Nothobranchius furzeri: one gene and its partners. The protein of the gene in region 7 interacts with the protein of the main gene of each other region in a biochemical or structural test. Links are inferred from orthologs where the notes say so. Each region holds a gene or a part of one and is shown on either strand. Other genes may lie near its edges.

Region 1 (3,401 bases), on a different chromosome or scaffold from region 7:
ATCAGATCTGGAAGATGGCAAAAACATTCCAGTCAGTGAGAATTAAAACAACAACGTACATTTCTAAAGTAAACAGAGACAATCCTATTGCTGTTAGTGCTAATAATAGTAATACTTTCTTACTCCTACAGTCTAATGCGGTTCCAAACGCTGTTTGAACCACGAGGCACAGAAAGATCTTTCTAAAATATTCAGAAACTCTTTCCCACTTGCAGATGGAAGTGCTGTAAATCATATATTAGAATGTGCAAATCAACTTATTTATACACTTAAATATTCATCTTCTTTCAACGACAGTTGTGGATTAAAATGTTCGGACGTTAATAATCCAATAAGTGATTTAAATGAGCAAAACAAACAAACCCAAACTAGCAGAGAAACAGCCAAGCACGAGTGAGCAAGCCTCGCTGTCGTTTATCTCAAACTTCACCAGAAACGGCAGCAAAAATCAGCTCAAGCAAAGCAAAAAGGAGCTCGTTTTGTTCCAGAGAGACGACGGCTCTCTTCTTGTAACATATATTCATAAAGATGCGTTAATATTTAAAAATCAACCTGCGGTTTGTCAATAAAGTTTCATTAAAGCAATAAAGAGTGTGTGTGTGTGGTTTGTAGTGTTTTCTCCAAATTCTGCAGTTTATCTTTCCAGTGATCTAAACCTGCCCGATGAACTCGGACCAGCTGATATTAGCGATGCCCAGTTCCTCGTCCAGACCCGTGAAGCTGATGTCCACCAGAATCTTGCTCAGGCTGTCGTTCATGAGGTCCAGCACGAGGCCCTCCGTGAGCGAGCGGTTAGTGGGCGTGGCGCTGCCGGCTTGCAGGAGCTCCCTGGAGCAGCTGCTTTGCGGGTGTCCGATCGGCGACTCCGTTGATCTGGTGACTCTGCAGGGAGCCGTGGTGAGCAACTCCCGGGGGGAGCTGAACAGAGCCAGGTCTTTAAAGGGAGTGCTGTTCAGACTGAAGGTGGTGTATTCGTGCCGGGGCGTGGCTACAGGACCGCTTGGAGTGCGAATAGGACTGAAGTCCAGAATGTTTTGGCTCCCTTTGCCCACAGGGGTCACGAGCCATGGCTCGAGTCCAGCAGAAGAGCGTTTGCTGGGGGTGGAAGAGGTCAGGTGGGTGATGCTCTTTATCGGAGTCTTGAAGGAGAACCCCCGGTCAGGACTGTCTTGTCTGTGCCGCTGCTCATTCGGCCCGACATCCAGAACGTCCTGGAACGTCGACACATCAGAAGCTACACCAGAGTCGAAGAAGTCACTATCAGGACAGAGGAGAACAGGCTCCTCGTGCAGCGAGTTAGCCAGGCTCTGTTTGCGTCGAGAGCTGCTGGCTTGTCTCTTCGGAGGACGAATGGGAGTCTCACATCTTATTGGAACATCAACTGGCTCCTCCTTTATCTCCAGCTTCAGGTTAGTGATCTTGGGAGGAGATTCAGCCACAACCGAGATGCTGCTTTGTGTCACCTTTTCATGGAAAATAATATGTTAGATTCCTTTGGCATCGAAAATTACAACAAGTTGTGCCTAAAAAGCGGTTTACCTTAGGAGCTATGCGGACTCTCTTTGCCCCTCGAGAAAAGGTCTGCTTCTGCTTGGGGCAAGCGTAGCTAAAGGAGGCAGACGGGGTTGACAGATACAACGGAGAGGCCACAGGGAGCTGGATCGGAACCAAGTAGGATTCGGTTCGAGGGAGAAGCGGTTTCATCCTTCTCTCTGAGCACAAGGAGACACGGAACATGAACCAGCAGCACAAGTAGGGCTCTGAGGATGAGTCTGAGTCATTTCTGGAAACTAGAAGTGGATTTGGGAACTCTGAGGCTCCAGCCTAGTCCTTAACTCACCAGAAGAGGCTGGTATTTTTCTGCCAACAGCAGCCGTTCTCTTTTGTTGACATGGAAAGGAAAACGAAAAGATGCACCATCACTTTAAAATAGTCAAATGAATACAACTTTATTAACAATGCTGACAAAGACGGTACCCTTTCCAACTGACTCCTTTTATGGATAAAAAAAATAGCTGTATTTGTGAGTGGGTATAAACCAGCGTTAGACAAGGGAAAGCCTCTTCAGCCTCTCTGGTTCTCAGATCACCTCCTGCAATAAGATGACCTCACAGCTCCAGGTTCACCTGCATTTTCTTACCTCAAATAAATACATGAAAACTAGGGCCCGACCGATATATCGGCCGATATTGGAGTCATTAACCGTATCGGTTATTGGCCAAAAAGATGACCGATATTGCGCTACCTATCCAGCAGATTGCACCAGCTTTATGAACTCATGTTGTGTGGCTCCTAGCGATGGGTACCGAATTCTGTACTTTTTAAGGTACCGACCGAATTCCATAGTACAGACTGAGCACAGATTCACGTCATGTGAAACGGTGCCTCGTTTCGGTACCCGTCCTTCATAACGAGAACTTGCCTAGACAGCTGCGCATGCGCAAGAGCGCTATGTCGGTCGCTGCGAGCGAGTTGTAAACAGAGCAGCATGGTAGAAAGAACGTACGCTAAAGCTTGGCTCCACTTCACTAAATGTGATGGGTAACTGGGTGATGATGAAACCAGCGACAACGATCTAAGTGAGACATCCTCATCTTAATCTGCTCCGGTAGGTAAACAAAATGTTTAAGACAACGTTAGCTTGATATGTTAGCTTCCGTTTCGCTAATGGTGCGTTCGCTTTCTCCTCGGAACTCCGAATTTCTGACTAGAATGCGCTCTAAAGTTTGGCTTCACTTTACTAAATGTGACGGGTGATTGGGTGAAGATGAAACCAGCGACAACGATCTAAGTGAGACATCCTCATCTTAATCTGCTCCGGTAGGTAAATAAAATGTTTAAGATAACGTTTGCTTGATTTGTTAGCTTCCGTTCTGCTAATGGTGTGTCCGCTTTCTCCTCGGAACTCCGAATTTCCGACTAGAAGAACATGAACGCGCTCTAAAGTTTGGCTTCACTTTACTAAATGCGACGGGTGATTGGGTGAAGATGAAACCAGCGACAGCGATCTAAGTGTGAGGCATCATCGTTTTAATCTGCTCCAGCAGCTAAATAAACTGTTTAAGATAACGTTAGCTTGATATGTTAGCTTCCGTTGCCACCATTGTTATCAGCTAACGGTGCGTTCGCTTACTCCTCGGAAATTCTAACTTCCAAGTAGGAAAAATCAAATGAAAAAGGACGGCAAAAGGAATGAAGATACACAGTAAATTTAGTTCACAGTAAAGATGTTTGCTTCAGTTTAATTATCAGCTTATAAAACTACAAGGACGATGTTAAAATACAAACAGTTGTATGTTATTTATTGTGATATTTATCAAATATGGTTATATATTGAGAAAAATATATATTTAATTATAAAAAAGAATTAAAATATTAAACACTCAAAAGTATCTAAAATT
Region 2 (4,084 bases), on a different chromosome or scaffold from region 7:
TAATCGTCCTAAAATTGACAACTTTCATTAGAAAATACATATTTTCAAAAAAGGCATTTGAGTCTTTTCTCCTGCTGCTACGGATTGTAGGTAATATCAAGGGTGCAAGTGAGAGTATTGAGATTGGGCCTTAGACCCACTCCTGTGTATTTCAGACCCAATTTTTATCAGATACAAAACAGCCACTATTTTCAACTACTGGGCATCATTTAATACATTTTCAACAACATTTTCATGGATGTTTCCAAAGAATATTGGTAACAACCACACGTCTTTAGCACAGGTCATGATGGCATGTTTTTTTTGAGATCTTCCAGTCTACTTCACGCCATTTGTTTGGGGTTAGGGGTTTTGTTTCCACAGTAAAGGGTCAAAATGAAGAAATCTATGAAGGGGTAAAAGTTTCATTTACCTTCGATGGTGGGAGGACTTCATCCTTGCCTTCACCGTCACTTGCCTCCATGTCTTCTCCACAGGAGCTGAAACAAGGGGATATTTGGTTAGCATTCTATCCAGCAGGGGGCAGCACAGTGCCTTCACAAGCACATGTCTGAGTTCATCAGTAACCATGAGGTCTTGACTTCCAGCCAACACCCCCTAGTCCTAATCAACAAACGGCCTTAACATCACTGGTCTGCCTCAACAAAGGCCTCATTGTGTTTTACAAAGAACAGGTGCAGCTGCTCGACCCTGCTCTGCAACGTGTGATGATCTCTGGCAGCACCTCAGGAACAACTAATACATAAAATAGATATTTCAGCTGATCTGGTCCTACAGAACAGTATCTTCATACATAACAAGTACTGACAAGATAATCTAGAATCTGAGAACCCCTGAGCAACATACTCGTTCCAGTGTGCTCTCTTCCTGTTGTTCCTCTCCTGTGTGGCTGACTGGATGATGAGGGAATCGGGGGTGAAGGGGTTAAAGTTGACCAGCGGGATGTGCGGTCTCCTGCCACTGTCCGAGGCTGGCTTTCTTGGAGACTCAACATTTTTAAAAAGAGCAACTCTTCTGCTGGAGGATCCTGGTGCAGAACCTCTGGCTCTGGAAAGCAAACTCTGCAAAAACAGGACCAGTCGTTACTAAACGCACAAAACAAAACATCTGCTTGAACTCACGTTGACTTGATTTCAAATAAAGAGTAAAGTTTTGGTGTCTTGTCTAATGCAGACATGTCTGGACATAAAGCTGCATGGACTCTGACCAACAGGCTTATGCAACAGGTACATTAATGGGTCACCGGGCTGATACCAGACTCTAGCGCAGTGAATGGGCTTTTGGAAGTTTTACAACAAACGGATGTTTTATATTAAAACGTGCGCCCCTAACAGGGCAGCTTTTAAAGCTAGCTGTGAATGAATAGATCAAACTTGCAAAAAATGAAAATAAATAAAAAAAATTCTTAATGTTTAGTAAACTCATGTTTCTACGGAGACACATGAAGATGTTGTTGTCTACACAGATCCTGACCTTCGGGGTGTGCGGCGTGTCAAAGAGCCGGAGTTTCCTGAAGGTTTTGTGCGGAGGTGTGTCCGGGCAGTCCGGGATCGGAGAGCTGGATCCTTCTCCGTCGTCCTGGAAGCTCCTTCCAGCTTCAGGCGACCCTCCGAACAACCGGGACACTTTCTTGGATGACGGTGAACAGTTTTTAAAAATAACACTGCTCGGTGAACAGTTTTTAAAAATAACACTGCTCGGTGAACAGATTAGAGACGGGGAACCGAGACTCTCCTCGTCCCACAGCTCCACGTCGTCGTCCCCACCGGACTGATTCAGGGGGCTGCAGCTGCCCTCCAGCCGCTTCCCGACAGTGTCCCGTCGCAATGGCGTGGGGGAATCCATCTCCGTGAAGCCGGACTCTCCGCCGGTGCTGTTGTTCACATCCTCGATAGGGTCGTCCTCTCCATCGCTGGAAGTGAACTTTAACTTCTGACGGATGGGTCGAGACTTAGGGGAGGGGGTTCCGTGTCGATGGCGACTGTAACTCGACATTTTCAAGATTTAAACCCCGAGATTATCGACCAAAAAATTAAAAAAAAAAAAAAAAAAAAAATACCGGGGATACCCACCACAGAAAAGTAGTCTGCTTCTATTTACCTTCACGTAAAGGTATCGGTTAAGACGTTTTTTAATCTCCAGCGTTAACTTTCTTCTTGCTAACTCCCAACAACACGGGGAGAAACGCTAAGAAATGGCCTCTCACGAGCCGTATTCCATGTAACGTCCAAAGTATTAAAGTAAAAACGAATAAAAGTACTCAGTCCGTTAACTCCAGTGCGGCTGTCCGGTCCACCGACGTCCCGGTGACTCACCGACGTCTTTCCTCGATTAAACCTTACTTATGTTTACAAAAAGTTTTGAATGAGTCAAGCAACGAGTTCTTCCCGTGACGCGCGTGGCGAAGAACTTCCCGCGACCGTTGGTCACGTGTCACACCGCAGCCAATCAGAGCTTGCCTCTGAATTTTGAAAGCTGGGCGTTCCAGAGCGATTTCTGGTGGATTACGTCATAGATATCAGCAAAACAATATGGCGCGAACGTGTGCCTTTTCACGACGCTCACATTGCCAAGACAAAACGCGAAGTCATCAGGCGGCACGATCAAACAAGCCTCTGTTGTGAAGCAACTTGAAACCCAATTACGTTAATCAAAATTACGTTTATATTGCCGCGAATTTCAAACGAGTCAAACTTATCGTTCCTTTTTAGAAGAAATATTCTCACTGCCAAAGGTGAAGTTATACAGCAGACTGGGTGGTGTGGTTTGTAGTGGGAAAAAAAAATCCCAAACTGAATCATCTGGTTATTTATAACACTGTAAGCACCATCTCTTAACAGTTGTCTTCCATTGTACCCTTTTTTGTTGATGCAGCAAGTTGTTTATTTGTTAGGAATATTCTAAATGAACCATTTGGTATGGATCTCTAGCCTCTTCACCTGCAGAGTGGAGCAATAGTGATGGAAAGTTAAGAGTCACAGATTTGTTTACAAATAGCATTTACTGTACACTTTTAACATTTGAAGGCATCCCCCAAATGTTTTTATGAGGGGAAAAATACACAACATAATTCAGATTATTAAAATCCTATGTACACATGAGAGCAACTTTCATCTGTGAAAACAAATAGAAGGAAGACTCATAATTTCTCCCACTTATAAAGTTAAACAGTCTTTTTTTTGTCCATAAGGAGTTCATCAATCATCCAGGCCTGGTGACTCTCCCTGCTGTATCCTTGATGCTATCCTAATGGCTTCCTCCAGCGACGGCTGATCAGTCAGCTACAGGAAGAAAAGACAGAAAGCAGCATTACAACAATATTTAACACAGACTGGTGTGTATTACTCTATCAGGGTCTTTTGTTGCATTTGTTTACTCTAAACCCATCTTTAAACTGATGATGTTACAGACGGTTGTATTTCAGGATAGGGAAGACTGTTTTGTAATTTACAAATACAATAAATAAGTTCACAATAAAAAAGGCCGATTATCAGACTTTGATCTAATTAGTGTGATTAGGGATTTATGGCTCTTTCGTGGGAGTCGTTCATTAGTCGGTCGTTTACCTCAAAGAGCCGTTCAAAAGACTGGCTCCTTTGAAAGAAGCGAAGCAAAGAGAGCAACGTGTTGCGGCGGTGTCCGTGAGGGTGCACGGGGTTGTTTAGTGCTCCTCCTACGTCCGTGACAGTGGTGGGTGGTGTTTGAGCGGCTGCGCTTTACTGACTTCTGGGGAGGTTTGTTACCGGAAGACAAGATGAACAGCTCTCTAGAGGGAATCTGCTCTCATCGTTCACTTTGAAAACCCGTTCAAAAGATTCGATTCGTTCATGAACGTCACACCACTAGAGCTAATCATGCCCCCCACCCACGTCCGACAGGCCTGCTTTACTACATCTCAAAACTCCAACCATAAAATGGATATTAGTATTTTGGAGGCATGCTGGTGGCTTTCTCAGATCTGAATTAGAGGCCGGCTGATATATTCAGTTTTTTCTATGTCGGCCAAAATTATTTTAAAAAGCCGATAAAGTTTTTTTTAATTTAAAAATCAGGCACCTGTGTGGCCAACTGCCGCCACAACTAG
Region 3 (4,172 bases), on a different chromosome or scaffold from region 7:
TAAAAAGGTCAATATAGCTTTAAGAGGGTCTTGCTGTTTAGAGATGATTTTCATTCTCAGCGACGTGCTGGGGATCTGTCGTCCATTTGCAGATTAGCCTGTAGATGGCAGCCGTACTTCTGCAACAAGACCGATCGAAAGGGGGCACTGGGTTCATTGGCTATTATCTGGACGGCCGACAGGAACTGCACACGGGGCACTCCAGTTCGCTGGCCACCTGGTCCGAGGCTCAGAGACAGCTGGTGAAATCGAGTGGAGACAAACCCTACAGCTTGGCCCGCACTTCTAAACCTATACCGGTGCTTCCTAAACTCCCTTATTCACTCCATCTCCCATACGTAACAGCAAATGGCGCGCACACACAGGGGAGCTAAAGGGTTGGGGAGAGGGAGAAAAAGCAGTTGTTGCTATGGAGACGACAGGCAGAGAGAAGAAGTAGGGCTGTGTGCTGGTTGGGGGCGGAGGGGTGCTTAGTGTCAGCCTGGAAACAGTCTTGCGGCCTCTGCACCTGCACCACACAGTGCATGACAAGCTGCAGGAAGCTGGAGGACAGGAAGTACAGGGTAAATATCAGGCCCCCCCTTCCACCCCCAAATAAAGCAGTTAACCAAGATTTATTGGTATTGATAATCACTTTGCCGCCCCCAATAGGGAGTCATGGCCGGGCTATTTGTGGCACCTTGAACTGCAGCCAATAAACATATATCAACAGCAGAGGATGAGGTTAGCTGTTGCAAACTACGGGAATATAAGTTTCAAACAAGACGAGCAATGACTTACCTTGCCCTTGCCAGCAGTCTTGTTTTTGCTGCCCTTTGGTCGCCCTCTGGGCCTCTTTGGAGTTGGTGACCCACTTGGCTCCTGGATATCAAACAGGTTATAGTTAATATCAAGAATGTTTTAATAGATGCCCAAAAAGGCTCAATTTTAGTGCACATCAAAACAATTGAAATCAAAACAAAAACTGACTGAGCAATCTGGCTGAACCGTAAACATCAGAGGGGACTGCCATAACATCTGAAAGTTCAGCAAATTCATGCACAACTCGTGGTTTAAACCGGCGTCATGGCCCACTCGTCTTCTGTTGCTCGTCTGATGTGTTGATCATCACAGCTCTTAGCAACCCAGCAACTCAATAGTAATACACAGCAGGCCAAGTGACATCTATGTGATCCACTCTGGGCCACAACTCTCCTATGTAATGCAGAAGAGGATGAGGGGGAGGTTAAAACCAGTTTAAAGGTGTTAGGTTACTGGTTGCTTACAAACTGGTGAGACATGCTGGGAATTTGCTGTACACCTCAGCAGTGGAAAAGCAGGGGGCAAATGGCCACAAGGCCATGCTCCTGCAGTCTGGGCTATTTTATTCTGGTCTCAAGACTCTGATATGCACAAACCTGCATGTGCGTCTAACTGAGCCTCAGCGATCACAAGAGGACCTGAGGCTCAGCACCACACCGGCCTGGTTCTGCATGCATTTAAGATCAAGTTTATTCCCATGGCATGCAAAAATAAAAATAAAAAATAATAATAATAATAATAAAACGACGGGGTGGTAGAAAATCAGCTAGTATACCAGAATAAATAGACACTACTTACGTCAGAGGTTTTCACCTCGAGCGATTTGCGGGGTCTTCCACGCCCTCTCTTCTCTGCCGCCTCCTTCTCTTTCGGTGAGACTGTCCCCTTGTCGCTCATATTTGCTCTTCCAACCTGAATGGATGATGATGATAATGATGATTTAAATAAACCCTACCGGCCGGCCTTGATGCTGCAAGAGGCGTCGAGTTCACACAGAAAACTGAGCACAGCGTGTACCCGTGAGCCACTAAACCCACTGACCGCAACAACAAACCAAAGATGACCGACCGCACCACGCACGGTTTAACCCAATTAATCCGCGCTGGTTTCCAGGTCTATTTCCGTCTCGTCTGCGCTCTGCGACACAAGAGGTTTACGCAGAAAACCGATCACAGCAGGCTTAACCTGCAAAAGACCACAAAACCAGCCAATTCCCTCCGGTACCGACCGCGCTTATAGGCCCCGCAGGAGCCCAAAGACCAGGCCTGCGCACGGAACCATCTCAGAGCAGCGTGTCTGCACGCCTGGGCCGCGGAGAGATCCACCGACACTCACACACCACAATGGCCGCGGCTCGTTTCTGGTTGCAGGCAACAAGCTTTGAGCTGAATGGCTTTTTAAAAATTAAGTGGCGGAGGGGAGAGCAGCAACCGAGGTCTCCGTGTAGCGGAGCGAGCCCGGACCGAAGCAACAAAAGACGGCTGACAACGTGCCGCCGTTTCCCGCCGGAGCTCCGGGCTGTTTGTAAAACCGGTGGTCGCATCCCCACTCACCTTTGTCACGGTGCTATCGCCTCCGTGCTAAACTCAGGTAGACTTGTTTCCGTTTGAAGCCCGGCTGGTGCGTACCCGGTTAAAAAGCTGATCTATAGGCTACAGCTTTTATTCGTCAGACAGCCCGCCCATTTAAAAAGCCCAGCTCACGCGCCTTAAAAACACACACAAACCCATTTAAATAAGCGAAAAGCTGAACTTTCTGCATTTTTGTACATGAAACATATTTATTTTTACCAGCACGGTGAGAAGTTTAATCCAAAGGTTTCCCTCGGTAGAGCACGTGCGTCTCGCGCAGATAAAGGAATGAAAGGCGCCGGAGTCGGACAGGAGGAGTTTTTGGACAATTTAAAGAACCGCCCTCAGGAGAGCGGGAACACTGGAGGGCGGGGATATGATAACGAGGGCCACCAACAGAACCAGAACAGCCCAACCTCCACTCAGCACCGCCGGTGTTCCGACTATCCGTGCCCCCCGTCGAAATATTATACTTTGGGGAAATGCGCAGCGCCTGCGCAGGCCGATTATTGCGTCACAGGGTGTTTACAAGTCGAGACGCGCTACCTGTGGAAGTTTACGTTTAATCTCGTCACTTATCTAGTTACTTTCAACTCGTCGAAGGTCACAGTACGTATTTCTTTAAGTTGTTATATAAAATTATTGCTTACTGTATGTTTACCGGACAGCTTGTGAATGGCTTCTAAAATATCGTTATTATAATGTAAACAAGACATTTCTCCCATTGTTTACATTCATTCTGAAAGAGTCCCAAATTAATATCCAAAAGTTTTATATTATACATATAATAAATTTATCATAGTTGTATAATAATCTCCAAAATTATACATTCAAACAAATAACTAAGTATTGGGGGGAAAGCAAAGTGAGTTAATTTGTCTAATAAAGGATTATAGAATGATAAGAGCTAACGTCTTACAAATCTCCATTTTTATGAATCACTTTCTTGACATGGGTGAAAGTAGTTGGTAAATCGTCATTGTTTTAGCATCTAAGGGGTTTTACGAAATGACTAAATTGCTTACAATCCACTTTTTTCATAAAATAAAATTAACCTACATTGTGTCATAGCCTCCACTGTCATGGCGCTTGAACTATGATGACGTCCCCCAATGTAAACAATCCCTTTGCTCATGTTTAAATAACGAGACTAAAAAGTAATTTAATTTATACATATTATTTAAATATATTAATAATATTATTTTGTACAAAACCCAAACGGAAACAATGCATGTGGAGCTAATTTTAATCTAATTTTCTTTTATTTGTTGTGCATTAAAGAAAAAACAATTATGTTTCATTTAAAATTCAAATGACATTTTTGAGCAGCTATTTCAGAATTATATTTGAATCTTAATTATATTGAGGAGTTTTTTTTCTTTATGTTGATTTTCCTTTCTTTTTTTTAATTATGCTAATCTTTAAAACATATTTGTGTATTCATTTTGTATGAAACCCTAAGAGAAACAGTAAATGTGGAGCTAATTTTAATCTACTAGCCGAAGTTTAGTTTGAATGAAATTAAATCGTAAACTCCCTATGAAGCATCGCTGATTTTCTCAAAGAATTTTACTGTTCTGTTAACATCGGTGCTCATCTACATGTGCAGACATGGTCCCTAAATTATTCTTGTATTAGGCAACAATTAATATGAAAAGTTTAACATAGATTTTTATTAAACATTTTATGAGTCATTTGAAATAAAAATTGTACTTTTTTGCTGCTATTTCAGAATTATATTTGAATCTTAACTATAATTAGCAAGGTTTTTCTTCATTATGGTTTTCTTTCTTCTTTTTT
Region 4 (3,500 bases), on a different chromosome or scaffold from region 7:
CCTCATTTAGTAAAAACACAAAAAGAGGAACATGCCCTCTGACATCAGAGTAAAATTAAATACAAACTTAAACAGTAGTGAACAACGTGGCCATCGGCGCATGTTGGTTTTAAAGTGACTCCTTCCTGGATTCGGCGTCTTCCTTCAGCTTCTGCTCCTGCATGCGACTCCGAGTGGAGCCTGCACACAACAATCCCACTGGATCAATACCAACCCTTTTCAACGGCAACAACAGGAATATAAACACACTCACTCATCTCTGTCAGCTTCTGTATCAGAGTTGAGTCTTCTCCAGGTTTGCTGTAAATTGCAGTAAAGACACTTTAAATCCTCCTAACTCGTCAGTCAGCTGTTTAATATACCACAGTTACTTTTCTTTATGTCCAAAATAAAAGCAAACATGTTTGAGGCGCAGTTACTAAATCATGGCTGTGATAACCGACCTGCCGTCAGTTTCGTCTTGCCCGTCGATGTCGAAGCGGAGCCTCTTCAGAGGTTTTGGAGTAGATCCCAGATCCAGGGTCCTCTTGTGGGAGCGATCGCTGCTGACCATCTGGTTGATCTTCTGGAAGCGATTGGACAGCTGCAGATGAGGACATAACAGGATTAATGAATAAGTCAAGTGTGAGAGAGGAAAAAAGGAGTTGCAGCATTCTGTGAGGGTGACCATCTACCCCAAACGATTCCCCGATTGATACCAGCATTCTGCAAAGGGCACGAACAACACCATAAGATGTTTTAAAATACTTCAAACATTTGAAATGAATAAAATTCAAATCACAAAAATGAAGCACCGACCTGGAGCGAGGTGTAATAATACCCGGGGACACGCGAGAGCTCTTCATGGGAGAAATGTAAACGTTGTTGCTCCCAGGAACACGCAGAGGCGAGTTGGGGAACTTATAGGGACTGCGTGGTATTTGTGGGATTGGAGAGAGGGGGGGCGGCTGGAAAAAAATATCGGTATTAAAGCAGTAAGCTTTACTGGTCATAAATGGATCCAAGCTTCCCTGTGGACTTACCCTGGTAGATGCATACTGCAGGATGTTGGTTTTTAGCTTCTGCATGAACACCTGGTTGTAAAAGACGATGATGGAGTCGTACTGGCCTTCAGTGATCAAGACGTGTTTAAATGTCTGCAGAGCACAGCAGGTTTAATAAGTGGTGAATTAACAGGAAGTTCACTTCTACGGATGAAGCTGCACCACCTCTTGGTTGGTGTTGGGCAGGTTCTTGTACGCCGACACGATGGACTTGAAGCGCAGATCGACACTCTTCACTTTGCATATGGCATACATGGCTGACATCATCAACTGCAAAAGGACAAGCAGGTGATTTAATAGTAAAAAGAAACAAGAGGTGGAGACGGGAGGATTAAAGTCATGCTGGTGTTGAAGCACCTGGTCCAGGTGATGGTCTCTCATCAGCTCGTACTCATGCTGCAGAGTGTGCTGGAACAAGGTCCAGATGATGGGCTCCAGTTCAGGGTGAGAGGACAACAAGTAGGAGCAGAGCGTCTTTAGTCTGGTGTACGCCAGGCAGTACACTACAGAGGAAGGGGCAGAGAAAACACGTGTAAACTACAGCGTTAACATTCAACCTCATTTCTTTGAGTTCAGAGAGGAAGGCTGTTAAACGAGCAGTTGGGTTCATGCAAACGAAGGAGAAAAATAACATTTCTGCAAAAAATGATTTGAGTTTGTGAAATTCTAAAAATATTTTTATAGCAAATCAACTCTTGTTTTACTGCTCATCTCAACAAATATTTCTTACTAAATACAAGACAACCCCTGAGCCCTCAGATCAGTAACTAAAATTTACTTACATTTTTTATAGAAGAGGCTTAGGGAGTTGGACTTGGAATGTCGTGGAACTTGACCAGGAGCTTGAGAGGCGGGGTTGGAGGAAGCCACGGGGGCAGACTTGCACACGGGCTTCACGGGGGACTCAGGAGGCGAAACCCACTGGCCGGCTCGCATCGGTGACAGATATCTGCTCATGCGTCAGTGCAACCAGTGGAACATGTTAGATAACCTTTCAACACTGATAAGTGACATTTCCATCCCAGGAAAAACCCAAACACTGATGCGCAGCAGGAAACTGCGAGTGAGTCATGGAGTTCGGTGAGGCACAACGGTTTCACAAATTTAACCCAAAAAAAAAAAGGGTTTTAGGGTCTGAGATGAGATCTTATTTCCCCGACTGGTTGTAAAGTAACTTACAGGTCTGCAGCGGTGTGGTTGTGCTGCAGCGGCTGGCTGAAACTGCCGGGAGTCTCCACCTGCTCCTCTGCTCCACTCCCACGTTCCTGTTTCAGGAGCTCAAACAGCGGGGATCCCTGACAACACAAACACACGCACAGATTTACTTTAATCCTACGATTTATTAAAACTGTGAGGAATAAAAACACACCGGAGAGGTTTTCACATCGTCACTTAAACCAAACCACAAAACACACAAAACCTGTACAAATGTGTGCATTGTTTCATCATCATTACATCTGAGCTCAGTCTTCATATCTATTTTTCTTTAATCCGCAGCCTACACAAGCAGCCTGATGATCTGATCGCCAACCCCAACCCAAGTGTGAAAAGGAAGTGGTTATACGTGAACTTTACACAAAATTTCCCTCGCAAAAATAGTCCATATTACACGTCTCTGGTCTGACAACACAACTGTTCCTCACTGAATATTGCCACAAGGACACGCCAAGTATGTGACACAGATACAGGAACATCCAGCGTCAAGCTTGATTAGATCTGAAAACCTGCTAAACTGAATCTGATGGAGCTGGAACATCCTGACGGTTTAGGGAGCGTGTGACAATAAACAAGCACACAACTCAGATCAACACCTCTGGGGAGGGGGATCCTGGAGGCTTATTACCCTATGATAAAAAAGTGACTTCACAATACACATGTGACTGTGTTCAGACATGTTTGGAACATTCTTTGTGTCATACTCGCATGCTGCACCCCGCTGACGTCACCGATGTTTCGAAAACAAAATCTGTGGCTCTAGTGGGTAGCGTGACATACTAGGTTTGGTAACTCATTATCTTAAGAGTTTTGTCAACAGCTGATTTGTGTTTCTAGTGCAGCTGCATTTACTTGTCAACAGCTGATTTGTGTTTCTAGTGCAGCTGCATTTGCTTGTCAACAGCTGATTTGTGTTTCTAGTGCAGCTGCATTTGCTTGTCAACAGAAATATTTAAATTTAATTTTTATTTTAAACAAATCATCTGAAGGAGGACTTTGACCCCTGTGCAGACTCCTCCCTGAGCCACAGAGTTCTCTGAGCCTCACACGTGCAGCAGTGGGACGTCTGAGTTACAGTAAAGGAGGAGCAGAGAGCTACAATGAGCTCACAGGGGACGCTGCGGGAACATACGAGAGAACGAGGGAGGAGGAACCACCTGACAGATCACAGAACTGAGAAAAAGAGCTCGGCTCTTCCACCCGAGGGACAGATATCATGTCTTCTGTAAAGGAATACTGATA
Region 5 (4,156 bases), on a different chromosome or scaffold from region 7:
TCAGCTCAGATCAGCATTAAAGCAAAAACTAGGGAAAAAAACTTCCTTTTATAGGTTAGCATCAAATCCCCTCAGCAGCTAGAAAAGCCCAACTAAACACAGATTTTCAGAAAGGTCCAGTGCTGTCAACAAATCAGTTCATGCTCCACAAACTTCAGCAGCAAAATTATAGATCAAAACCAGGAAGTGATGAGACGTAGGACCAGCTCCTGACATTCCTGCCAAACTGAAAATACGAGTTACAACTATTTAGCTCTGTAAAAATTGTGGATGTAATAGTTAAATTCTTCTTTAGCTTTTATCCTTCCTAATTTGCTCTAAAGCACAAGACACCGTGTATATTTTCTCTGTCTTCATGACTAAATCACGAGTGGCAGAAGGTGTTCAGGACCCACGGGCTCTCAGCGTCAAATAACCTCTTATCTCAGGCAGACAGCTCAACAGAGAGGACTTACCAACAGGTTTTCCAGCTCCAGCTGTCGGACTGTGTAGTAAGATTTGATGTCCTCCGAGACGAGAGTCACCTTGAAGTTGGTGTCTTCAAAGATGGCGTCCTTCTCCTCTCTTTGCGGCCAGTATTGAGCACATTTAATCTAAAACCAAACAAAGGTCATGTGAAAACAAAAGAGTAGCGTGACTCCTGAGTAATGGACACATTAAAAGGTCTCGGTAAGGACAGACGACTGCTTACAGATCCTTTCTCTATGACCCGGTTTAGCATCACCACACCGTGGGTCCTCTGCTCCCAGACCATCTCCCAGAAATGGCCACACGTACTCGGCAGGGGTCCCTAAACAGGGAATAAACCACTCCTTTAAAGACATCACACTTTCTTCTTCGCATCACTAGATAACAATATTAGCACGGGATGAATAAATAACAGATCCAGCCACGTTCTAATCTCCAGGTTTTTACCAGCGTACTGTGATACAGACATACAGAACCACGGCTCCAGCTGGACCCGAGCCACTGCCTCTGATTTTGTGACACGTGCAGTTGTGACAGTTTAGTCCACATCCAGCATTTTAACTACAAGCAGTGATGGCCCATTTCCACCATTTTCAAATAGAAAGCCTGATATATACTCCTCTTAATATTCTTGCTTTTCTATTTGCTGTTTTTCCCTCACTGATCAATCCCATGGATATGCTCTCACTGTGGTATTCTTCCATTTTCCAAATCATTTGTTGACATCATAACTCCAAGACGTGTTACATACAGTAGATGTGTGTCTGTATGTAAAATCATACAGAGGACAGTGAATCTTCAGGATGCTTACCTGAGTAAGAATATAATTTCTCTGAGCCTCTTCAACAGTTATCAGGCTGGCATTGATGTAGTCGTTGGAACCCAGCTGCAGGTGTATTCTGCTGTGGTCAACTGAGGAGCGGGGACAAAAGACAGATAAAAATGTCTTGTTGTTGTTTAGAAGGGGAGGAACAGCCCTACCATCGCAACACTGATGAGAAAAGAGTCATTGAGCAAACTAACAACAGAGGTAACCACCTATCCTTCATATGAGATGTAAATGTGGGCAAAAGTTTCAGGTTCCTCATTTTCACATCTTGTTAGATGTGAATAATAAAAACTAAGTATTTGCAACCCAAGCTGCACAATTTGCATAGCTTATTCAGTGTGAAAAAGAGGAAACCAGCAAAGCTCAGCTGCTGGACTGTGATGGATTTAGTTCTGTGGATAGTAACTATTTTTACATTTTCTAACTTGTATAATTACTGTTGTTTTCTTATTTAAAATTTAGAAATTAGTTTCAAAGAGACAATCCTAACAATTTACAATCTGTCACCTTTGAATTATTATATGGGTATGATAGGAAATACACAATCTACCTGAATTTAAGAATGGTTATAATAACCGAGAGAAAACAACAAACGAGTCTGCTGATGATCAAAGTGTAACTCACATGGGCTGACATCCCTGTAACGGTTTCGAGTCTTGTTTTCAGGCAGTTTGGCATCATTGCATGCGCACTCGCTGGACTGCTGGCGAATCTCCTGAGACAAAATAAAATTTACCAAATAAATTTTAGCAGATTTAGGTTTCACACACTGTGAAAGTGGATCTGAGTGCATGTAGGCCTTACTTCCTAAATTTAATTCTTTAGAAAAACAGAAGAAAAAAAGAGTCTAGACATCACACTATTAACACTGTTAATGCAGGTAAACATGTACACACACTTAAAATTATCATAATAAAGTAGTTACTCATGAGTAGTGATTAAACAGCATTTTAAAACGTGATTAACGTTTTAATGGACACTTGATAAAGGTTTATTAAAGTCAGAACAGATCCGGGCCACTCCTGGGTCCTAGCGAGTGTTGCAGGTATTATACCCGGACAGACACATCAGAACAAGGCTGTACACACCCAGAAAAGTCCCGGTGACTAATAAAAACATTGATTATTATTAATACCTTATATATCTGCTGACTCGTTGTGAGCAGGCCTAAAATGACAGCTTCACCTACGGTTCGTGTCTCCACCTTGATGATCAGCCGATAGTTCCTACCTGGTAAATGGCGCTCCACCTCTCGTTCTCATCGATTTCCAAGAACTCGGCTTCCATTGCTTCCAGTTCAGCTGCCACTCTTTCTTTACGCCCAGCCCAAAACGAAGAACCACAGCTTCCCGGTAATTAAAGAATTAGTAGTGAATCGGTTTCCGGTAGTAGCTGCCCAATCTTCGGCCGCTGTTAGCTCGCATTCAGTGCGGCTGCTTAGATCGCCATCTCGGCCTACTCTTAACGGAAACACGCCGCTAGCTCCTCCTACACGGTGTAGCTGTCGTCCTTGGGTGGCTAAAAAGAGCACAATGTGTTTTGTTTTGTTTTAATTTGCTGCTGTGAGATATCTGTGTAGGATTCACAGCACTTCTTCAAGTCTGGAAAGTAAGTCTGTTGACACAGAATCGTCATCTCACCATTTCTGAAACAGCAGCGACCAACAGGCGAGGACGCGCGGGAGGCATCATATTTCTGGGAAAAAAACGCGTCTCGCTCTTTGGGGAGCGCGCACGCACACTCACGCACTGTGTACGTCATCGCCCCGGCTGCCGGTGAATTTGGCAAGCTGTTTTAACATTTAATATAATTACATTTAAAAAGTAATTTGAACGTCAGTGTAAATATTTCTGTCAAAATGACAATCTGAATTATAAAATCAAAACCAATGATAACCAAAACTGTCACAATATTAAAATTGTGTCTCAAGTTTTCCATAACTGAGACTTTGTCAGGGAAAACAAACTTTTGAAGCAAATTATGTCAGCTTTCCATTAATTTATATTAGGTTATCCCCTTCAGATGTGGCAAACATATCTGTCCATGTCTTTGTCTAGTTCATATTTCCACTGCACAAGTGAGTTGACATTTGAGTTCATCTTTTTAAATGGCACTTTGGTCACAAATAGCATTTTACTTCTACACTGTGCATAGAAATGAGTAACATGTCATAACATTTGACATTGTTTTATTAAATTGTTCTGCATTTCTACTGCATTACTGTTCTTTTTAACACAGCAAGTGTTATTTTACCTTGTTTTTGCATCAGGTAACAACATCGAGTAACAACATCAGGTAATAACATCAAGTAACAACATCAAGTAACTACACCATATAACAACATCCGGTAACAACATCGGGTAACAACATCAGGTAACAACATTAAGTAACAACATCAAATAATAACATCATGTAACAACATCTGGTAACAACATAATGTAACATCATCATGTAACAACATCTGGTAACAACATCAGGTAACATCATCATGTAACAATATCAAGTAACAACATCAGGTAACAACATAATGTAACATCATCATGTAACAACATCAAGTAACAACATCAGGTAACAACATAATGTAACATCATCAGGTAACAACATCAAATAACATCACGTAACATCATGTAACATCATCAGGTACCAGCATCAGGTAACATCAGGTGACATTAAGTAACAACATTATACAACATCTTGTAACAACATCAGGTAACAACATTATGTACTATCATCATGCAATAACATCAGGTACCAACATCAAGTAACATCATGTAACAAAATCAAGTAACAACATCATGTCTGAACATCAGGTAACAACGTCATGTAACAACATATAGTCATGTAACAACATATACTACA
Region 6 (3,151 bases), on a different chromosome or scaffold from region 7:
AATTCATTCATTCATAGTAAAGCGCTGGATTAAGTCCTCTGAACGGACCAGGTGTTCACTGAGAGACACAATGATGTGAATTACAGTAAATGTGTTATCTACATTCACCCTTTCATCAGTACCAGGGTTGTTTATATTTAAATTAATGCTGTCAGGTAAAGTGCTGATGTCATGGAGTGTGTGACCAATCGTGTGTTCTGGTCTGAAGTTTGGTTTTAAACACAGTAAATGTGTGATCATGGTCAATGTTGTTGTTTGTGTTTAACACTAACCCAGACTAACTGTAGCCCAGATTAACTATAACCCAGGTTAACTGTAGCCCAGACTAACTATAACCCAGGTTAACTGTAGCCCAGACTAACTATAACCCAGGTTAACTGTAGCCCAGACTAACTATAACCCAGGTTAACTGTAGCCCAGATTAACTATAACCCAGGTTAACTGTAGCCCAGATTAACTCTAATCTGAAGTGACGTGTGAACAGGTCAACAGGCAGGGTGCTTGCTTCAGTGTGGGTTTATTAGGAAGCAGAAAGGAAAACTGACAGGAAAACCTGGAAAAGTCCAACAAAAAACTCCACAAAGCCAGAAAAGCAGCTTTAACCTGAAGTCAGTTCAACTCTGTCAGCAGAGACGTTCTGGTTCTGGTTCGGTTCTACTGGGCTCGTGTTGTTTCTCTGGTTTATTCAGTAAAGAATACTGCATCAGAACCGGTCTGGGATCTGATCAGAACCGCTTAACCAGAACAAAGTCCGTTTTGATTTATCCAGAACTCTCAAGCTACAGAGCCGACACAGGAAGTCCAAATGGACCGAACCATGATGGTGTAGAGAAAAAAACCTTCACGAGCTACATATACAATCCATCAAGAGTCCCGGACGTATTTACACCCCCACCACCCCTCCAGTCAAAGATCCATACGCTGGTTCTGGTGGGTTCGGTTCTACTCCACCACCAACTCGAACTCCTCGGCCTCCCGGAACTCCGCGTTCATCTGAGCGGCCAGATGGTCCAGCTCGGCCGAGTCAATCTGCGGCACCTTCCGCCTCCTCCTCCGCTCCTTTGACACCGACACTCCGGGGATGTTCGGGTCCGGTTCAGCAAAGCCCTCGTCGGTCGATTCAGTGAAAGACGTGATGGGTCCAGAAACTTCCAGAGCGTCCCTGGTCTGCTTGGACTTCCGGACAACCTCCGGGGTCCTCAGCCTCTCGAAGCCGAATAACGTTTCTCTGGAGTCGGGGCTACTGTGGAGGGAACTGTCGCTGAGCCTGCTATAGGACCGGCGGGCTTTCTGCGCACACACGCCGGCCTCTGGTTCAGCAGCCGGCTGCTGGGTCCGACAGGAGTCCGGTGGGGAGGACGGGAGGATCCGTGAGGGCATGGGCGCCTGCTGCTTCTTCCTCGCGGCGGAGGAGGAGGCCCTGCGGTCCGGGCCGGGATCGGGGGTTGAGACTTTGGTCTTCAGCTGCTGTACCTGCTCGGAGTGCCTCGGCGTGTTCTCCTTGTTGTGTTTAGACGAAGCGCTCGTTTTTCTGGGCGCTATTTTCCGCACGGTGATGGAGCGTTTAATTCCCAGCGCCATCTTCTCACCTCCCAGCGGAGCTTGCGGAGAACTGAACCGCGGCGAGCGTCTTCGCTGCGGCCCGAGAGGACCGTTAGCTCCCGCCATCGCCCCATGAGGCGAGCCTTCGTCCATGCTGAAATCTGCCCACTAACAGCGAATTATTCACTCGGTTTCGATTGAATCTCCTCCGGTTGCTCAAACAACGGCGCCACTTTCGAAATTACCCGCTCGAGTCGCACGGTGATGACGACAACATCATCGTGACTCTAACAAGCCGCGCCAGTGGAAGAGCAAAGTTTTTGCTGTGTAATCCGGACGCTTGACGCTCATACTTGACTGCTGTCTCACCTGATTTTCACCGTTATTCCGTGTTGGTTCGGTTGGAGACGATGGAATATTTAATCGGTATACAGGGACCGGATTTCGTTCTCGTCGCAGCCGATAATGTGGCCGCCAGCAGCATCATTCAGATGAAACACGGTGTGTTAGCTACCTAGCTTAGCATTAGCTCTTCTCTCATTTGATTCTGTTTCTGTTTGTCAGACGCGTGTCTGCGTATAAGTCTTTATATTTTAGGATTTGCTGTTTCATTCTAACGCATTAATGACCATTTGTCACATTTTATTTGCCAAAGGAGATTAAAAAGTAAGACAATAAAGCCATTACCGGCCAATGAGAGGTACGATGAGCCTTTTAGAAATCAAACTTAGCTTCTGAGTTTAGTTCTGAGCTTTAGGATGTTTATATGCTTTATTCTAGCCTGCTAAATCTCGTGGTGAGCGACCCCGGCGGTGAAAGTGAAAGTCCGGTTGTGTTCAACAGAAACCAAATCAAACTGGTTCTGATCTAAAACAGTGCACATGTGTTACTGATCGTTGTTTAAAGTTAGATGTAAATGAATCTGATCTGAAGGGATGCTTCAGTCCAACCTCCTGGTTCTTTTTCAAAGTGATGTTTTCTCATCACTCGCCTGAATCCGGACCTGGTTTCTGTTTTTGGGGCGACTGGTGCTGACATCTGGCTTTTTTCAGAGGATGACTTTCACACTGAGTTTTGTTCTTTGGTGTCTCAGATTATGACAAAATGTTCAAGCTGAGTGAAAAGATCCTGCTGCTGTGTGTCGGAGAGGCCGGAGACACGGTGCAGTTCGCGGAGTACATCCAGAAGAACGTTCAGCTGTACAAGATGAGAAATGGTATGATGTGGTTGTGGCGCTCTTCCTTAGTTTCACCGTTTGTCACCAACAATTACTGATGCTTGTTTCCTGGTTTTAGGTTATGAACTCAGTCCAACAGCAGCAGCAAACTTCACACGGAAGAACCTTGCAGATTATCTCCGGAGCAGGGTTGGTATTCTGCACCACCGCTTTAAACAACTGTAATTATAATAATCTGTAAAAGTACGATTTTTACCGCTGGGGTGAAAATCCCGGTTTTTCTTGACTCCAGCGATGAGTCGGCTAAACCGCTGGCTGTTGAACCAGGTTTCTGTCCATGTTTTAGAAACGGCATGTTGCCCAGCGCTGCGCTAGTAGGAGGAAGCTGAAAACTTTGTGTGACATGTTTTCAGCAGTAAATCCTGTTGGATT
Region 7 (3,450 bases):
AGATGTAGGTCCACCGTAGGTCGTATGTCCCCTTCTGCAGATAGTGTATATAACTCCTGGTACTAGCATTAGTATTTGAAATAACATCAATACAATACTCAGTAAGAGTTCATTACTTGTGTAATTCTGGATGTACATTAGTTTGCCTCTAATGCTGCATACTTCTGGAAAACCAAGTTTTTATTTATTTATTGTTTTTAGTGGTTTGAGTTAACTGTATTCGTATTTTACTTAGTCTTCAAGTGTGTGTGCTGCTGCAGCAAGTGAATTTCCCCACAGAGGAATTAATGAAGTCCATGGTATTCCAACATTAGGTCTATTGGCATGTGAAGAGAAATCTCTCATTACACCAGTAGATTTCATAGATAGGCACAGAAACACCGTTTTAGCTTGTTTTTAACCCAGTAGGCTGTAAAACTGCAACATGACTGATACTCAGACTGCATTAACTACATAATGAAACTGGTGAAAGGTTATTGTCCACTAATGGAGCCAATATGTCAGTTTAAAAGCAAATCATGCTAATTTTAGGTTTATTGAAAGCCATTACACTTTTTATGGTCTGCACACACACAAACAGAGAAGTATTTACAGATGAATATTCCCAGAGGAAATGAATGCGTTGAAGTGGAATGAGTAAATGGGTCCTAGATGTTATTGCTGGTAGCAGCTGGCAGGGTGGATTTGTCCAGGTCATCAAAGTAGGGGTGTTTCATGGCCTCACGTGCAGAGATTCTCTTTGGAGGATTGTAAACCAGCATTTTCTATTTAAAAAAAAAAAAAGAAGAAGAAAAAGCAAATGTCAGCTTTAAAACTATTTCAGTCCCATTTACAGATCCATCCATCCATTTTCAGCCACTTATCCAGAGTTGGGTCACGGGGTAAGCAGCCTAAGCAGAGAGGCCTAGACTTTCCTCTTCCCCGCGACTTGAGCCAGTTCCTCTGGGGGAACCCCAAGGAAATCCCTGGCCACCCGAGAAACAGTCCCTCTCGCGGACGTGTCAGACTGAAGGCCCATGGGCCGGATGTGGCCCATGAGATCTTCAAGTTCAAAGTGTACACCAACGATAAACTACATTTCCCACAGTGCATGGCGATTGTGTTACCAGTGCAGCTACAGTATTTCACCACTGGGTCGCAGCATTTCCACATCTGTGTTTAATGGAACAAGTGAAAATAACCATCCACAGATTATCCCACAACGTCCAGGAAGAGAAAGACTGATGAAGGGAAGGTGTTTCAACAAAGATGGGAAGGTGAATACATGTTTATGCTTCAGGAAAACAAAGCAGTAAGTCTTTACAGTCATTAGCGTCCATGCTACTAGTATCGGCATCAGCAGCATCACCTCCCCAGTCTTGGACAGAGTTTACTTTTAGTTTTAAATGTACGTGCAACCTCCAAACAAGAAGTAGCCAATAAACTCTCAAAATCAATGGTCAGACTATCAATATTTAAAACAGTTAGCTCAATTAGTCATAAGCAGTAGACAGAAGACAACTGTAGACCTAGACATCACAGTTTCAGGAGAAGAACATTGAATTGTCCAACAGTACAAATACCTACACATCCAGGTAGACTCACACTCAAACTTCATGCCTCATGTGAGGGAAAGCTGTAAACAATAAATACACCTTAGCCAGTGAATTTGTGAATATCAGAACAGCCACACAGAAAGGAGCGTCCAGAGGAGACCATACCATCCCTCTAAAGCCTGATTCATGCTTCTCCGTCTGCGTCAGTGCGGAGACACGCAACGTCCTTGCGTGCCTGCCGGAGAGCTCCGCAAGGACGGATGGAGTCGAGCTCTTTTCTAAACATCCATCACTCGAGACAGACAACGCAAGCTTGTGATTGGTCAGGACGCCGCTGTTGTCTACAGTGCCGCCACTGCGCCCTCAAAAACACAAAGAGAGCCGAGGATAACAAGCAGCAGACACGGAGAAGCTTGAAGAATACCTCGCGAAAAAACTCTAAAAACATGAACGTTTAATTCCCCCGTGGCTGGAGGAGTGAAAAGATGCGCAGCAAGCATTTTATTTGTGGACGGAAATGACAGGAAACGTGGGTTTAGAGGTGGTGAGCGCATGAAGAGGTGGAGGAGGATGAGAGACAAATATGTCCGTGTTAAAAGTCTCTTATATACAAAAAACATAATATAAACAACACTATCTTGGACCGATGCATGACAGGATACCACAGAACAGCGCTACGCCCTCTGTTGTCCAGCCGGGGAATTGCTTTGCAACACTCTCCATGAGACGGAGAAGTATGAGAGCAAAACGCTTCCGTCAATCCATGCGCGTCTGTCTCTTGCGGAGCTGACGGAGAAGCATGAACCAGGCTTAAGGAAAAGTACATTAGGTCAGTCATCCTTCTGTGTGCGGGCAGCTCAGGAATAGAACATCCCAACCTCAATTATAGTAGTTTTCAAATAGGCCATACAGGCCAGTGTAAAATCAGCCTTACTGTGAAAAGAGCGGTTTATCCCTCCCACTTGGCCAGGACATGAATATGCTAATGAGCTGCTTGCTGATTGGTTGGTTTAAACCAGAAGGCCTCAGACACTGGAGACTGGAGGAGGAAGAGCTCCACGTTGTGAAGTTTTTATGAGAGATTTCTCAGAAAAGAAGTTTTTCTTTGGCATTTTTAAACTTTCTAATTTACATAAAAAGTAGGTCACACACAGCTTTGACTTTTTGGCGTGCTACTTTTGATCACCCAGGCTGTCTTTATTCACAAACAACAAGAAAATGTTGGTTTAGATTCTTTGTCCCCTTTAATAGTCTACGCGTTATTTAATTTATAAACATTTTTTAATCTCACCTGCATTAGAATAAAATGTATTTTATGATCAAATAAAAAGGTTGCTGACTGAGCAATCAAGAAACTAATCTTGCTAAAGCATAATACATTTTCATCTTAACCTACTTTATTTGATATAACTAGGAATGTACACAGATAGCCGGTTAATGTTGTAACCGGTTAACTGCTTTCAGTCCTTCTGCTGTGATGAGGTGTAATATAATTTGTGCCACTAGAGGGCACACTAGCGCTGATATCAAAATATGTTTACTGGGCAAGCAGAAGAAATGAGCTCATCACATGACTGTGCTCAAAAATGAAGGGGGCAAGTGTTTGTGGGCGTAGGGTTTTGGTTGGTTTCTGCTTAACCGGACCTCAATAACCATTAAAGAAATGTTGGGAAACGTGCGTTCCTAAATATAACATAATTATTAATCTGGTATCTTTACGGTAAAGCAGACCCTCTGAGCTGTCGCTTGTCCCTGACTGCTGACATGTGGACCAGCCGTGCTACAGAGGCGTACCTTAGTGTGTCCCGCTATTTCCTGAGTTAAGATTGGAAGATGAAGTTCTTCAACCTTGCCGCCATGCCTCTTGTGAACACAAGTCATTTTGTGTACAAGTCATGTTTGGTTTTAGGAGCCT

The links.
Region 1: of the proteins of cdk1 (region 7) and foxm1, one has a biochemical effect on the other in vitro, tested with the Homo sapiens proteins (2 studies listed by BioGRID). The link is inferred for Nothobranchius furzeri from reciprocal best matches to the Homo sapiens genes CDK1 and FOXM1.
Region 2: of the proteins of cdk1 (region 7) and wee1, one has a biochemical effect on the other in vitro, tested with the Homo sapiens proteins (5 studies listed by BioGRID, with this or other methods). The link is inferred for Nothobranchius furzeri from reciprocal best matches to the Homo sapiens genes CDK1 and WEE1.
Region 3: of the proteins of cdk1 (region 7) and hmga1a, one has a biochemical effect on the other in vitro, tested with the Homo sapiens proteins (3 studies listed by BioGRID and IntAct). The link is inferred for Nothobranchius furzeri from reciprocal best matches to the Homo sapiens genes CDK1 and HMGA1.
Region 4: of the proteins of cdk1 (region 7) and rb1, one has a biochemical effect on the other in vitro, tested with the Homo sapiens proteins (8 studies listed by BioGRID). The link is inferred for Nothobranchius furzeri from reciprocal best matches to the Homo sapiens genes CDK1 and RB1.
Region 5: of the proteins of cdk1 (region 7) and ptpn1, one has a biochemical effect on the other in vitro, tested with the Homo sapiens proteins (2 studies listed by BioGRID). The link is inferred for Nothobranchius furzeri from reciprocal best matches to the Homo sapiens genes CDK1 and PTPN1.
Region 6: of the proteins of cdk1 (region 7) and cdca5, one has a biochemical effect on the other in vitro, tested with the Homo sapiens proteins (2 studies listed by BioGRID). The link is inferred for Nothobranchius furzeri from reciprocal best matches to the Homo sapiens genes CDK1 and CDCA5.

The regions. Positions count from the first base shown.
Region 1 is NC_091741.1:41,398,879-41,402,279, forward strand, and holds the end of foxm1 (forkhead box protein M1), read right to left. Parts: intron 1,881-3,401; coding exon 1,841-1,880; intron 1,713-1,840; coding exon 1,540-1,712; intron 1,464-1,539; coding exon 651-1,463; 3' UTR 501-650; downstream 1-500. UniProt on the Homo sapiens protein: Transcription factor regulating the expression of cell cycle genes essential for DNA replication and mitosis. Plays a role in the control of cell proliferation. Also plays a role in DNA break repair, participating in the DNA damage checkpoint response.
Region 2 is NC_091744.1:46,647,475-46,651,558, reverse strand, and holds the start of wee1 (wee1-like protein kinase), read right to left. Parts: upstream 2,801-4,084; 5' UTR 1,996-2,800; coding exon 1,474-1,995; intron 1,062-1,473; coding exon 847-1,061; intron 480-846; coding exon 413-479; intron 1-412. Other genes in the region: znf143b (zinc finger protein 143), read right to left, coding at 3,198-3,281. UniProt on the Homo sapiens protein: Acts as a negative regulator of entry into mitosis (G2 to M transition) by protecting the nucleus from cytoplasmically activated cyclin B1-complexed CDK1 before the onset of mitosis by mediating phosphorylation of CDK1 on 'Tyr-15'.
Region 3 is NC_091755.1:54,122,556-54,126,727, reverse strand, and holds the start of hmga1a (high mobility group AT-hook 1a), read right to left. Parts: upstream 2,801-4,172; 5' UTR 2,592-2,800; intron 2,510-2,591; exon of another isoform or gene 2,355-2,509; intron 1,714-2,354; 5' UTR 1,699-1,713; coding exon 1,600-1,698; intron 862-1,599; coding exon 781-861; intron 1-780. UniProt on the Homo sapiens protein: HMG-I/Y bind preferentially to the minor groove of A+T rich regions in double-stranded DNA. It is suggested that these proteins could function in nucleosome phasing and in the 3'-end processing of mRNA transcripts.
Region 4 is NC_091750.1:48,268,348-48,271,847, forward strand, and holds part of rb1 (retinoblastoma-associated protein), read right to left. Parts: exon of another isoform or gene 3,474-3,500; intron 2,339-3,473; coding exon 2,223-2,338; intron 1,993-2,222; coding exon 1,826-1,992; intron 1,547-1,825; coding exon 1,401-1,546; intron 1,314-1,400; coding exon 1,209-1,313; intron 1,137-1,208; coding exon 1,023-1,136; intron 948-1,022; coding exon 799-947; intron 706-798; coding exon 675-705; intron 584-674; coding exon 444-583; intron 301-443; coding exon 254-300; intron 181-253; coding exon 110-180; 3' UTR 1-109. UniProt on the Homo sapiens protein: Tumor suppressor that is a key regulator of the G1/S transition of the cell cycle. The hypophosphorylated form binds transcription regulators of the E2F family, preventing transcription of E2F-responsive genes.
Region 5 is NC_091755.1:52,048,892-52,053,047, reverse strand, and holds the start of ptpn1 (tyrosine-protein phosphatase non-receptor type 1), read right to left. Parts: upstream 2,801-4,156; 5' UTR 2,585-2,800; coding exon 2,528-2,584; intron 2,013-2,527; coding exon 1,922-2,012; intron 1,381-1,921; coding exon 1,280-1,380; intron 791-1,279; coding exon 692-790; intron 594-691; coding exon 456-593; intron 1-455. UniProt on the Homo sapiens protein: Tyrosine-protein phosphatase which acts as a regulator of endoplasmic reticulum unfolded protein response. Mediates dephosphorylation of EIF2AK3/PERK; inactivating the protein kinase activity of EIF2AK3/PERK.
Region 6 is NC_091759.1:26,797,174-26,800,324, forward strand, and holds cdca5 (sororin), read right to left. Parts: upstream 1,696-3,151; coding exon 943-1,695; 3' UTR 501-942; downstream 1-500. UniProt on the Homo sapiens protein: Regulator of sister chromatid cohesion in mitosis stabilizing cohesin complex association with chromatin. May antagonize the action of WAPL which stimulates cohesin dissociation from chromatin.
Region 7 is NC_091752.1:60,143,044-60,146,493, reverse strand, and holds the end of cdk1 (cyclin-dependent kinase 1), read right to left. Parts: intron 765-3,450; coding exon 648-764; 3' UTR 501-647; downstream 1-500. UniProt on the Homo sapiens protein: Plays a key role in the control of the eukaryotic cell cycle by modulating the centrosome cycle as well as mitotic onset; promotes G2-M transition via association with multiple interphase cyclins.